Linked DNA regions of Drosophila melanogaster. The protein of the gene in region 1 purifies or fractionates together with the protein of each later gene. This does not show direct contact. Each region holds a gene or a part of one and is shown in the gene's direction. Other genes may lie near its edges.

The links.
Region 2: the proteins of Hsp23 (region 1) and Nt5b purify together in Drosophila melanogaster (affinity purification with mass spectrometry, with the first as the bait; one large-scale study listed by BioGRID). This does not show direct contact.
Region 3: the proteins of Hsp23 (region 1) and DEF8 purify together in Drosophila melanogaster (affinity purification with mass spectrometry, with the first as the bait; one large-scale study listed by BioGRID). This does not show direct contact.

The regions. Positions count from the first base shown.
Region 1 is NT_037436.4:9,380,079-9,383,757, forward strand, and holds Hsp23 (heat shock protein 23), read left to right. Parts: upstream 1-1,803; 5' UTR 1,804-1,919; coding exon 1,920-2,480; 3' UTR 2,481-2,687; downstream 2,688-3,679.
Region 2 is NC_004354.4:18,406,704-18,412,293, reverse strand, and holds the start of Nt5b (5' nucleotidase B), read left to right. Parts: upstream 1-2,149; 5' UTR 2,150-2,410; intron 2,411-3,115; 5' UTR 3,116-3,244; intron 3,245-3,351; 5' UTR 3,352-3,398; coding exon 3,399-3,776; intron 3,777-4,408; coding exon 4,409-4,497; intron 4,498-5,590.
Region 3 is NT_037436.4:12,129,886-12,134,775, forward strand, and holds DEF8 (differentially expressed in FDCP 8 homolog), read left to right. Parts: upstream 1-2,260; 5' UTR 2,261-2,337; coding exon 2,338-3,091; exon of another isoform or gene 3,092-3,143; coding exon 3,144-3,868; 3' UTR 3,869-3,949; downstream 3,950-4,890. Other genes in the region: Lsp2 (larval serum protein 2), read left to right, coding at 1-1,630; CG5645 (uncharacterized protein), read right to left, coding at 3,991-4,774, 4,840-4,890.

The DNA.
Region 1 (3,679 bases):
CTCGTGCCGGTTGCCGATGCGGATTCGAGTCGCCGGCGATAAACAACTACAACAACAGCTGGCTGGCTGGCTGGCTGGCAGGGCCGCCTGGAAGCTACAAATCCGCTGTTGCCAGAGCTGGAGGATTGGCAAGCCGGCGTCGCGTAAACATGCGCAGTGACAGCGTCTGGGGCAACCCATACATATGGTATCTCCATATACATTTGTATCTACATACATACATACATACCCTGCCACACAGATGATGATGATATTGCTGGATTCGTATGTGGTTACATAGCCAAGTGCAAGCGATGGCAACCGGTTGAAAAGCTCCAAAATGCAAAAAACAACAACAACACCAACAACATCCAGACGGGGGCCAGACAGTGGAGACTTTGCTAAAAATTTACTGGGGCCCCGAACTCAGCTGCGGGATACAATTCTGTATGGCCATATATTATATTATATAGTATGTTTGTATTGATATGGTGTATCTGCCAGCTGCAGTCGGAAAAGAGCAAAAACCTTCAGAGATTGCTGCGTACGAGATGCCCCCTTGTACATACGATACATTCCCCATGTACATACACACTGGGTACTTGCTCCCATTTACCTAACCAAGGGGAAGAAATCCGCCGGACGAGCATGCTCGCACATTATGTGGCCACCTTTTTGAATAGACAACTTCCACTGCGTTGGCGTTGGATTGTCCAAGCCCTGGGCACCAAGAGTACTCTACTTCAGTGGAGGAGGAGTGGTGACAAGAAAATGGGGCCATAAATAAAAACTCGAATTATATAACAACCAGAGATTGAGTTCTATAGCAATGCCCATGTATTATATGGTTATTCAATCGCTACTGTAACAACAAATTGTAAACAAATTGTCATTTGATTTGGTTATTACGAAGTAATTCTGAATTCTAAACAATGTGTATATAAGCTGAATATTTATCAAGTTGTACCAAGCAAATGTGCAGCTAAATCTTACATACATACATATGTATTTGTCTTAAGAAATTGGTCAAATATAATAAAAGGTTACAGCCTCGTTTTCAATAAACCAAATATTGACTATTAGAATTTATTAAATGTTTTTAATGTTTTTTGGTTTATGTTTTCATCTATCGACCTTTGAAATTCAAAATAGTTGCATTACATTTTATTCAAATAATTTTTACATCCTTCGAATCCTTTATTGTATGAATGTACATATGTTCCAAATCGTATCATTTTTACATTTTCTTACTGATTGGAGTAATAATACGCTTACATCCCATGGGTTATTACCTACCCGGCATTAACCACTTATGTATTTTAATTAGATTTCCCCACTACAGAGCCCCATTCTTGGATATTAATTAAAGTTAATAGCTTAAATGCCAGGCCATAAAAAGAAGAACTGTTCTGCAGTCTCGAAGTTTCGCGAATTTACTCCATCCTTCGTGGAATATACTCCAACCTTCCTATCTGCTATGTATGTACATACATACGTGCTTACATACGTACATCTATACATACACATAATATTTGCCGGTGCTGATGCGACTTATCACTCCACCAGGCCTTTTCATTCCCACTCCCCTAGGAGATTGCTCATTTTCCATAGCGATACTCTCACTTTCAATGGCAGATAATGCGTAATTGCGGCAAATTCGAGAACTCTGCGATATTTTCAGCCCGAGAAGTTTCGTGTCCCTTCTCGATGTCGATGTTTGTGCCCCCTAGCACACAGACACGACGCGCACACACACAGCGCCGACGGGCGCACGCACACTACGATAGCGAGCGGTTGTATAAATAACCGGCACTTTCGTGCAACCGGCGTCAGTTGAATTCAAAAAGCCAAAGCGATAACAGCTAAAGCGAAAGTAACCTATCAACAAAAGAAGTTTATTCTTTGAAGGAGAATCATCTTGAAGCAATTAAAAAACAAAAATGGCAAATATTCCATTGTTGTTGAGCCTTGCCGACGATTTGGGCCGAATGTCGATGGTGCCCTTCTATGAGCCCTACTACTGCCAGCGCCAGAGGAATCCCTACTTGGCCCTGGTTGGACCGATGGAGCAGCAGCTGCGCCAGCTGGAGAAACAGGTGGGCGCCTCGTCGGGATCGTCGGGAGCCGTGTCGAAAATCGGAAAGGATGGCTTCCAGGTCTGCATGGATGTGTCGCACTTCAAGCCCAGCGAACTGGTGGTCAAAGTGCAGGACAACTCCGTCCTGGTGGAGGGCAACCATGAGGAGCGCGAAGATGACCATGGCTTCATCACTCGTCACTTTGTCCGCCGCTATGCTCTGCCACCCGGTTATGAGGCTGATAAGGTGGCCTCCACCTTGTCCTCCGATGGTGTCCTGACCATCAAGGTGCCCAAGCCACCGGCAATCGAGGATAAGGGCAACGAGCGCATCGTTCAGATCCAGCAGGTGGGACCCGCCCATCTCAATGTGAAGGAGAATCCCAAGGAGGCGGTGGAGCAGGACAATGGCAACGATAAGTAGAGGACTCGTTCCGAGAGATGCCCTGCATTATTTAACCATTATCAAAGTCATACATCTGTTTTATAAGCTGTAGTTATCCAAGGACACTTCACTCATACACAATAGCCATTAAGGGTGTCCTGCTTTAATCTTAGTTTGGAATATGTATTACTAAATTGGCGAAATTAATATTACCCATAAAAATAAATAACAAGTACACTTACTTATAATTGTGTTTGGTCTGTTTTTCTGGTTGGTTATGGGTTACTATTACTATTACTTTGGGAATTGTTTGGCTAGCTTGGCCCTTTTTCCTGTGATCCCGGTTTCTAGAATTTACTTTCTGCATTGTATATTGCATTGTTGTGTCACGTAAAATGGCATTTTTATTTAATTGTTGTTTGTGTACATAACTGACTTTTTACATTACTTCGGTAAAGAGACTTGAAGCTATGAATGTAAGGAACTTCAGTCAAGGTTAAATCCTTATGTAAAGCATGCATAAGTACATCATGTACATACATACGTACATAAGAATATACATCCCTTTTCACTCTCTTCTTTTTAATGAATTTCTGTCATCTCTACAAGAGATGTACGTTATGTACGTCCTTATAGCACGTACCTATGTACATGTATAAATTGAACTTCATTTTTGTATGTTACCGCAAATAATTACGTGCATGCACACATACACATACATATGTATGTATGCATGTAGTTTTGAAAATAATTATGTATTTTGGTTAACTGGTGAACCAAGAATAAAAAGATTCTATATACACATATACATATATATAGAAATGTATGCATATGTACATATAATAATCGAAACACTTGCAACAGACTGGCAATGATTTGCAAAATTTTCAATTGCCCCGTTTCCCACTTCGCGAAGCAGTGGCGAAAGCAACTGCAAAAATGTTTGCAACAAACAAAAGAACGGCAAACATGAGGAGCAGAACGAAGCGAGACAAGGGTTCAATGCACTTGTCCAATGAAAATACAAGCTCTGTTGCACTCTGAAAAGACAGCTTTTAAAAGAGCGATAAGAGAAGAAAATGCTTTAAATAAATACATATATCTGCATATATACGTACATGTACATACATATGTATGTACTGCATTTTAACTGTTCGTTTTGCTTTTTATTCGCAAAGAGAAACTCCCCAGAAAAGAAATGTCAAGAAGTTTCTGGTTCTTTCTCCCTCTCTCTATGA
Region 2 (5,590 bases), on another chromosome or scaffold:
TGAAATACAGTTATATTTACAATTATTTGTTTAGTTCTTAACACCCACTAGTACTAAATATATATTGGCTTATATAGTTTGCAATTGCTCGCAAACTATGCATTTCCCAAGTCAGTTCAAATGAAATGTGTTGATATAGATATAATACATTAATCCGCTGATCTTTTTAGGGGCATTTCCGATTCACTTAATTTCGCCCGGCGACTGGAGAAGGCCTAAAAAGGAAAAACTAACTGGCCAGCAGCAAACTTGGCAACTTGGACTTGGCAAGAGGGCCAGTGCTTGGCTCAGCTATAAAGTGGTTGCCGATGGAGGTGGTGGCGCTGCTGGGGGGAGCTGGTGGAGACGGTGGAGCTGCTGCTGCAGTGCGTCGCTTCCAGGCCACTTCACTTTATTTACCGTCACGCTCAGCGCGCTGCGGCGGCGGCATTAAGTGCGAAAACAAAGCCAACGCCATCGAACCGCTCCCGGCACCTCCTTATTTTTATGGCCGGTTTATTGAAAGGCCGCCAGGCCGCCGGGCAACGTGCAGCGTGCAACTTGCAACGTGCCATGTGCAAGCTACATGGCGAGAAAATGAGTGAAGGATACGACACAGCTGCAAACCTAGATTTCTAATTATCAATCTGATGCAGGTGCGAATCGCTTTCTATAAATTATATACATTAATACCTTAGAGATTATATTAATGTAATGCACTTAATGTTTTAAACTTGTTTTATTTTTAATTAATAGATTTTGTGAAATCTATTAAATTTATAAATTAAGGATGTAAATGATTTACATGAACTTTTTCGGAAGAAAATACATTTTTCAAAAAGTTGCAGGAGATTTTCTAATGCAATGTTCTCAAATTAATAAAATAAATTATAACGAGTATTAGAAATCCGCACGTAGCTAATCGCCTTAAGTTAGATAAATCTAATATAAACTTAGGTCTCTACATGTGAATTTATTTTTTTCCTGTGCACTCGCTGATAAAGAGCGTTGCGTAACCCGCCGATGATAGTAATGATGATGATGGTCAATGGCCATTGGCCAAGTAGGGAATACCACTTCCCACTTGACCAACTGCAGCAGCCGGAGCAGCGGAAATGCACGGCTTCAAAGACGCGGAAATGGCAATGACGGTGGATTGAGGAGGATGGATGGAGTAGGGTGGTGGAGGTGGTGGTAGTGGCATCCACAGCAGGTGTGGTAATCCGTAAAGCACTAAAGGCATTGGAAGCGCACAAATTTATTGGCGCAACTTGAGCGGAAAGGTGAGAACCGGGCGAGAAAAGAAAAACATATTGAAAAACGGATAAATCTGGGCGAAAACTTAGAGGAACAGGGAAGTGTGTTGCAACTAAGATTGAAAGGAGCGAAAGGAGCAGGCTAAGGAAGTTCGCTGTGCTCGGAATCGTCCATTAACATATAACAATTTATTCGAAAAGGGTAATTAAATAAATGCCAAAGGCGGAAAAGTCTGCCCCTAATAGCTCCTAAAGGGGACCATTAAAAAGTAATAGTATAAGCTGCTTATTTCCATGTGACAAATTTGATCAAAGAGACTCTTAAATCACATTTAAATGGTTCACGTATATTATATAAAGTAGTTGAAAAAAAAAAAACACAAAGGGGGGTTGGAAAAATGTATCCTAAATGAACAAAAATGGTGAATGTTAAGTAAATTCTTAAAATTATAATTTATATATAAATAAATTATATATAAATATAATATTATGATGCCTAAAAAATGCTTTTAAAATTTAAACAAAATCAATTGTTAGATCATACAGAGAAATATGTAGCATACATACTTTTATGTATTATTTTCAGTCAACGAACAATTATTATCAAGAAAAAGGAAATAAATGACTTGAGTTAATTAAACTATAGGTCCCTAGCTTATGGCATAGGACAAGAAGATTGTTAATTTATGACAAATAGCTCTTCATATATGGAGACAATTGAAAATATGTTTCACTGCGAAACAAATATTTTGAATTCCACGCATTGCGCGCCAAATGAAAGAGTGCAGCATTGCCAGCATCGAGCAAAATGCCCCATTGTTTACAAACAACTCTCTTTTCTCTTGCTGTTTCTGTTTTGCACTAATTTTCTGAGAGAGAAAATAAGGAAAAAGTAAAACCATCGGAAATTATCGTTATCGTTATCGTAAAACGTCTTCTTCTTCCAGGCCGCCCATTTATTATTGGTTTGATGGAAATCTTGGACAACTTTTGAAAATCGTGGCGCAGTGTGTTTATTATTGGACAACTTTTGAAAACCGTGCGCAGTGTGTTATGAAATCGCGACCGCGTGCGTGAGTCCAAAAATAGCTGGAAAATATTGGAAAATCAAGTGGCTGGAAAGCAAAACCTCGAAACGCAAAAATCCGCAACTTCAAAACTTCTGGCCCAAAGAGGTAACTCCCACTAAGAACTGCCCAATTTTGTTGTTGTTTTTTTTTGAGTCGTGTTGTTGTTGGCGCTGTCCAATGGACACGGGCATACATATTGTGTATTTTTAGAGCCCCCGCCGGCGTTACTTTTGCCCTTTTGCCCATCTGCCGGCCTTTGATAGATCGATATGTGGCACTCGCGGCGGGGGTGTCATGTGATTTTGTTTGCCGGCACCTTGCAGCGCCAACAAAAACGGCCACAACAGCAACAACAACACGGGCCAACAAACTTGTTTTCTGCAATTACGCAGCGAAAAACAAGATAAATTAGCTTAATCAGCGGTTGCCATTGGAAGTGCACGCACCGAGCGAGAAAAATATACGTAGCCTACTTTCGGGCCCACCCACAAATTGCTAGCTTTAGAAACATAAACACTGGGTACGCATAAAAAACTCAACGCGTGCCATTATTAACTTAACTTAACTATTCAGATAAAAATCCAATTATTGCGTGTTAATTGAGGAATATTCAAAAACTTGACACATGTGCATCAGATGAGAGTCCAGACAACATCTTTGTTGCCCGAGATTTAGATAAGGCTGTGCTATTTTCATTCTAAAATAAACTGAATAACAAAGGTTTTTATTTACACTCTAATAATACCCCTTAAATTTGCAAAATACTATAATCTATTCAGCTTTCAGTATAGTACAGATTTTATTATGTAGTGGCACCACCAAAGAGTTATTATTATTATTTAAAAAAAAACACCCAGTAACACTATTTCATATTGATCGGATTAATGTTCATGCAATCAAACTAATCAGTCTTATTCTGAGCAACTTAATAAGTATCAGGTATGTATGTACATATGCATTTGCATCAATATCAATAGAATTAAATCCCAAATCGCTTGATTGCTTTCCCACGCTGACAAACACACACACACCGATGCATTTTTTAGTTTGTTCCCACACACACACACGCACACACATGCTGTTTAAGTTGGCAATGAGAAACTTACGCCGTTTAACAAACACTTTGCAGTACCACCGCCAATTAACAAGCAGATCCGAAACAACAGACACCTTTAGATATCCAAATCACATTGCCCAAGTGGCAATCGTTAACGACTCTCGCCGACTGTCACTAAAATCGGGCGAAATACCCAAACACGGCCAGGGCAGCCAAACCGCCCCTTCAAGGATATACCCCATCCACATTGGTGCCCCAAATTGCCAGCGAAGCAGGAGGAACAAAGGCAACCGTAGGCTAAGTTGCTCCTATGCCAGTTTAGGCAGAATGCAGGCCACGCCCAGCGAAGATGCACAGCCGCAGGATCCGCTCAAGTCCTTCGAGAGGGACTTTTGCGACCTGCCGCCCTACCAAGTAAGTACACTGAGCGAAAGCGGCGGGAGAAAGCACACTCTTACGCTAGAAAACAATATTTTTCTCAATAAATGCACGTTTTTAAGCAAAAAACTTTCAAATGTTAAAATTACAAAATATCCAAAGAGTTTTGTAATATTTTTGTATATATGGTTTAAATTACCATGAACAGACGTTCTTTTTAATTGATGTGGGCATTAAGCATTGTAAAAACAATGTATACGTACATATATAATTTAAACATTATTTTTGTACACCTTTTCTATCTCAGTGTTGAAAAAGCAGGAGGTGAAGATGTAGCTAGACAGCAGCATATCAATCAGTTGCAGCAAAACTCATTAAACTTGTGCCAATTGCGTCAGTCAAAGAGGGTTGGCCAGAGTTGCCACCCCACTTCATTATTCAGCACTCTTTCCTTTGCATTCATATATTATTGTTTTTGTCCTTAGCACTTTGATTGCTTTGCCTGCACTGCCTGCGTTCTCAATTTTCAGCCTCATTCCCACTTCTCTACTTCAATTTTCCTACTTTAAAATTCGCAGCGTGTGTGTGAGTGTGTACGTGTGTGTTTTATGTGGTAGTAAACCGATCAGCCTACTCTCATTAATTTTCCGCTTTTCGACTACTTTCAGTGCGAGATGAGTGATTCTGCGCCCAATACCCCAGGACCCTGTTCGACATCGGCTCTGCCCAAAAAGTATTACCGCTATGCGGCCCACAGGTGAGTTGCCCAAAAAGAGTTGCCAAGTTACCGAAAAGTAGGTCACTTTTAATGGGAGAACCTGGGGAAGCCCAGTCCGAAGGAACAATAACGGTATAGAAATCCAATAAACAAAGCAGTGGAGAGCAAATCCAAAGCTAAGATTACTACACAGACAAAAAACGTTACTTAAGCTGTAAATATTCATTGTTAAAATTTAAAAGAAGCGAATTTCCAAAGGTATAGAAATCTATCGGAATACCACTAAAACTATCTTAGTTATTATAAAGACTTGTCAAAAAGGTTTGATATTATGATGTATATTTCTTAAACCTATTTTGCCCAGTGTAAGCGATGTTTTTACCTAAGAGAGATTTCTCGCATAAACCACGGTCAATGCCAAGTGCGAACGCTTTTCCACTGCCTTATCGTCTTATCTCGCAGCCAAAACAACAACAAGCGCAAAACAGCGACCAGCTAGTTAATCCACACGAATCGGGGACATTCGCTTGACAACCTGACGTTGATAGTGCCGCCCTCATTAGTCCAATTACGAATTCAGGGTATATAGGGCCAGGCTGTCCTGCTGTAAAGCACTAAAAATATCGCAAATTGGATGTGCGCCTTCGAAACGCTGTAAGGCAACCTGGCGTATGGGCAATAAAGTTGGGAACCAACTCACAGATATCAAACATAGCGTAATTCAACTTTTCAATTTAATGTATTTTTAAGCAGAGTTACTTAAAAATGCACATTGTTAGTTTACAAATCTAACAAATCAGAGATAATTCAATTATCTATTTTATATTATAATATGACATTATCTTGTAAGGTATTCACTTGTGAAGGAAACTATCCTTTTAAGCAATTATAGGGTATGCGGGTATTCGTGTTGTTATTCTACTTACGCCAGACGTCTCTTTTGCCATTTTTGTTTTTGCTGATTACAATATTTTGTGACGCTGTCCATTATCGCCCGGTTTTAGTGGCTTTTCGTCGGCGGGGGGGAGGAGGGGGTTGGCCCAACCAAAGGGGTGGTGGTGGGCGCCGCGGACGGGGCTGTCTGAATTGCTTGTTAGGCGTGAATGCAAGTAGATGCAAGTGAGTGGGCACT
Region 3 (4,890 bases), 2.7 Mb from region 1:
GCCGGCCCACTACGAGATCCACCCATGGAGCTACTTCGATAGCCAGGCACTGGAATGGGCTGAGCACTACAAAATGCACGGCTTCCATCATGTCAAGCAGATGGACAACATCTACAACGTGGTGATCCGTACGAACTATTCGAACGTGCACGGTTCCCTGAACTACGATCACGATTTGGCCTACTACCTGGAGGATGTTGGCTTCAATGCCTTCTACTACTACTTCAATCTGGACTATCCGTTCTGGACGAAGGGCGGCGAGGAGCATGTCCTTAACAAGGATCGTCGCGGTGAGCTCTACCTGTATGTCCACTGGCAATTGCTGGCCCGTTGGTACCTGGAGCGTCTGTCCCACGATCTCGGCGAGGTGCCCGCTTTCAACATGTATGTGCCAACCGAATCCGGCTATGCCAGTAACCTGCGCACCTACTACGGCGTACCCCAATGGCACCGGGAGAATCACCACAGCTTCTACCACGAGCACAACTACGAGCACATCGAGCATGTGGAGATGTACACGCAGCGTGTCATGGACTGGATCCACAAGAACGAGAAGTTCGATGTGGAGACCATCAATGTGCTGGGCAACATCATCCAGGGCAATGCGGACAGCGTGGACAAGAAGTTCTACGGCAGTCTTGACAAGCTGTACCGCTTCATTGTGAACGAGGGCCACCATTATGGCCATGGTGACGAGAGCTTCCCTGGCCTTTTCATGCACTACGACACCTCTATGCGCGATCCGATCTTCTACGAGGTATACAAGACCATTGTCAGCCACTACTGGCATCTGATGGAGACCTATCCGGAGTACCACAAGAAGGATTACGCCTTCGAGGGTGTCCACATCGATGCCGTCCACATGCCCGAAAGTCTGACCACCTACTTCGAGCACTTCGACTCGGACATCAGCAATGCCGTCAATGTGGAGCCCGCCGTTGAGGGATCCGCCGATCCGTTGTACACCTTCGGCAGGAACTCCCACTACAAGGGATCCAGCTATGTGATCAAGGCCCGCCAGCAGCGTCTCAACCACAAGCCCTTCGAGTTCACCCTGGACGTGACCTCGGACAAGGCTCAGGATGCCGTTGTGAAGGTCTTCATTGGACCCAAGTACGATGAGCACGGACACGAGATCCCACTGGAGCACAACTACCAGAACTTCTTCGAGCTGGAGCACTTCAAGGTGCATCTGGAGGCGGGCGTTAACCACATCAAGCGCGCCAGCGGTGACTTCTCCTTCTGGGTGAACGATCGCACCACCTACCTGGAGCTCTACCAGAAGCTGATGGACGCCACCAACAGTGACTACAAGTTCAAGCTGGATCAGTCGGAGGCCCATTGCGGCGTGCCCAACCGAATGATGCTGCCGCGCGGCAAGAAGGGCGGCCAGGTGTTCCAGTTCTTCTACATGGTCTACCCGTACCACCAGCCCGAGGTTGCCCAGTTCACTGGCTACGATCCGGTGGTCAGCTGCGGCGTGGGACACGGTTCCCGCTACGTGGACGCCCTGCCCTTCGGTTTCCCCTTCAACAGGCCGGTGAAGCATGACTACTACTTCGATGTCCACAACTTCAAGTTCGTCGACGTGAAGATCTTCCATCGCGACGAGCACACCAATGTGGTCTAGATCCTGGACCCAACGAATACGAACCCCAAAACGAACCAACGATATTGGATAGATTACATATGTTTTCCTTGTTATATCTTTGTCTGCATCCACTTACCCCATAGAGATCGTAATTTAACTCAATTTTTACCCAGCTTGTCAGTCCACCTTGTGACCATCGAACAATAAACGTATTCAACACAAGTCACTCTCTTTTCAATTTTTCAAAATATATTTTTGGTTTTCTAGTTATTTTCCTCTACTTACAGAATATATGTAAATAGAAGGAACAATAGAATAAAGGGCTTATTGATACTAGTTTTAAAGCCTACAGTTTTTAGCAGACGAATTTTCAAGTTAAAAATAGGCATTTTTATCTGGAATAAACACAATAGATTGTTAGATTTCTTAAATTACAATTTAATATTAAATGGTAAAATATGGTAACAAAAATATTTGCTTTATGCAAACCACGCTTGACATATTTCAGAATATGGTTTCAAATTGTATCATATTTTAAAAATATTAAAAGTTAAATTCAAAATATTTATAAATAATTAACCCTCACATTTTTTCTTTCACTGTATTAAGGTGCATTCCAGGGATGCGTACAACCACCTGCAGTTTGCCCCGTGAACGATAACTAGTTCGCTCATCTGCACCAATTGCTCGCATCCCTGGTCGCTAAAAAAACACACAAAGACTTGTTTTGTTGTTCTTCCCCAAAAATGAGCTCCTGGAAGGACAGTCTCACGAGCATTCCGGGCACGGTGGCGCAGTTGATTAACGAGAGCGCCAGCAACCTGTTACACGCCTCATCCACGCTGGGATCAACAGTTGGCCTTGGAGGCTCTGGCTCCACTGGATCTGGATCCGAGGCCGGAGGCTCCGAGGAAAGTGGTCCACAAGGTGCGGAGTACAGGGCGTTGCCCATTCCCGCGTCCTTGGTGCGCGAGCAATGGCGCCTAATCTTCACCAGCGATGCCAATATCCAGGATTTGCAGGCGGCCATCGCCCATTGCAGAGATCTCGTCCTGCTGAGCGAGGAACTCAGCGAGGAGCGTCGCTGGTTGGTGCGGCACCTGGTAGATTTGCGATACTCACTGCAGGAGCTGGAGGAGGCCCAGGAGCAGCATTCCCTATCGTCGGACATGGTAGTTATGAATGCCATACGTGCTGTGGTGGGTCATCATTTTGTGCCCCATCACCCGCATCATGGCAAACGGAATCGTCTGCAGGCAGCCGCCAAGAGGAACTACTGTGACCACTGCACCACCATTATTTGGAGTGTGGTGCAGAACTCGTACGTGTGCAGCGATTGCGGATTCCTGGTCCATCAGAAGTGCATCGATGGCGTGAAGAGGGTTTGTGCCCATGTCCTGGTTTCAGAGCGGCAGCATCCCATTTCGGAGATATGTCCAGAAATCGGACTCGCCTCCCAGGGATACAAGTGCGCCGAGTGCGGGACGATGCTAAATATAAGTAAGTTAAGGCTACTCTTTTGGTTCCGAATAATTAGACTCCTTCCTCGTAGAAAATACCTGGATTGAGCCGCGTCTATGCGACTATAGTGGATTGTACTACTGCCCTCGCTGCAACTGGAACGACAGTAACTTTATACCAGCCCGCATTATCCACAATTGGGACTTTTCGCCACGCAGAGTGTCGCGCACGGCGCTCCAAGAGATTAGGTTGTTCCTAAATAAACCGCTCATTCGCTTGGAGGAGGACAATCCCAAGCTGTTTGTGTTCGTAGAAAAATTGTGTGCGGTAAAGAAACTTCGCCAAAATCTGGTGCATATGCGCCACTATCTGGCTGCCTGCAAGATTGCCAGCGAGTTGAAGCTGGTGGATCAGCAACTGGGTGTCCGGCGACATCTGGCCCAGTCAAATGAGTTCTATTCCCTAAGTGATCTCAGCCAGGTGGAATCTGGAGCGCTGAGCGAATTTCTGCAAGGAGTTTTCAAGGCATTCAATGATCACATACGATCCTGCCCCATGTGCCTTGCCCAAGCGTACATTTGCGAGATTTGTAGCAACAACGAGGTGATCTTTCCCTTCGACGATGGCTGCATCAAGTGTGATCAGTGCAATTCCATCTTCCACCGAGTTTGCCTCACGCGCAAAAATATGATTTGCCCCAAATGCATTCGCATCCAAGAGCGGCGTCTTCAATTGGATCGCATGAAGAGCACCGAGGACGATGATGATGATGATGATGGAGTGGCCACCGATGATGACGTGACTGCCGCAGAATAACTGATCAAATCAGAGTTCATTGTGCTGTGTTGGTTTTTAATATGTTATCATATGTACATAAAATGTAACTATAAAATGTATAACTATATATGAACTTTTATTCTTAGATTTATCATAACTCTTTAGTTATCCTTTTTTCCATATTTTTCCCGCTTGTGGAATTTTCTGGGATTTATGCCATATGCCTTTAATCGATCGTCGGTTATTCCACTATTGTTATTTTGCTTGTTTTTCGCCTTAAAGTTGTTCGTTTTCTTAGCTGGGAAGGGTGCACTTGGCTTTTGGTTTGATTTCTTAAAGGGATTGGTGCCGTTAGCGTTTCTCGGTCCCTTTTTGTTTCCACCTTGATTTTTATGAATTGGTGGCAGTTCCTGCCTTTGTTGGGATTTCGATTGTGGCTTATTGAAAGGATTATTACCATTTGATTTTTCTGCTTTTGCAGGCGCACTTTCCGTAGTTTTAAATGGTTGGTTCGACTTTGTCTTTGCACTTTTATTTGCTTGATTTTGGGGTTTTTGGAATCCATTTTGCACGTTTTTAGGCTCTTTTTTGTTATTTTTTAAGGCATTATTGTTTTTCGTTTTCTCCGTGCTTTGTGGACTGTTTTTAGTTTCCTGATTTGCGTCATCTTTGCCCTTTTTAGAGGGAGTATCGACTTTTTTCTTAGAACTTTCTGCCTGGACATCTTCAGTAGATCCATCCGCTTCCTTTGGATCCTTGGAGTCACTTTCTTCTTTTAGAACCTTAGGAGCACTGGCTGCTGCTGCGGCAGCCTTACGTTTCAGGCGTTTCCTCTTTGATTTGGACAAACCTTCTGTCGAGACTTGACCATTTTCGGCTGGAGCTGTCGCTTCAGCTGGTGTCACTTCTGGTTTCTCTTCTGCTGGCTGCTCCTCATCGTCAGAACTGCATGAGAGTCAAGTTTTAATACACACCCGTTCGAAATCGAAATTTTATTGTAAGTTACTCACCCTTCTCCATAAAGACTCTTAAATATCTTTCGCTTAAGGTCTTCATTCTTG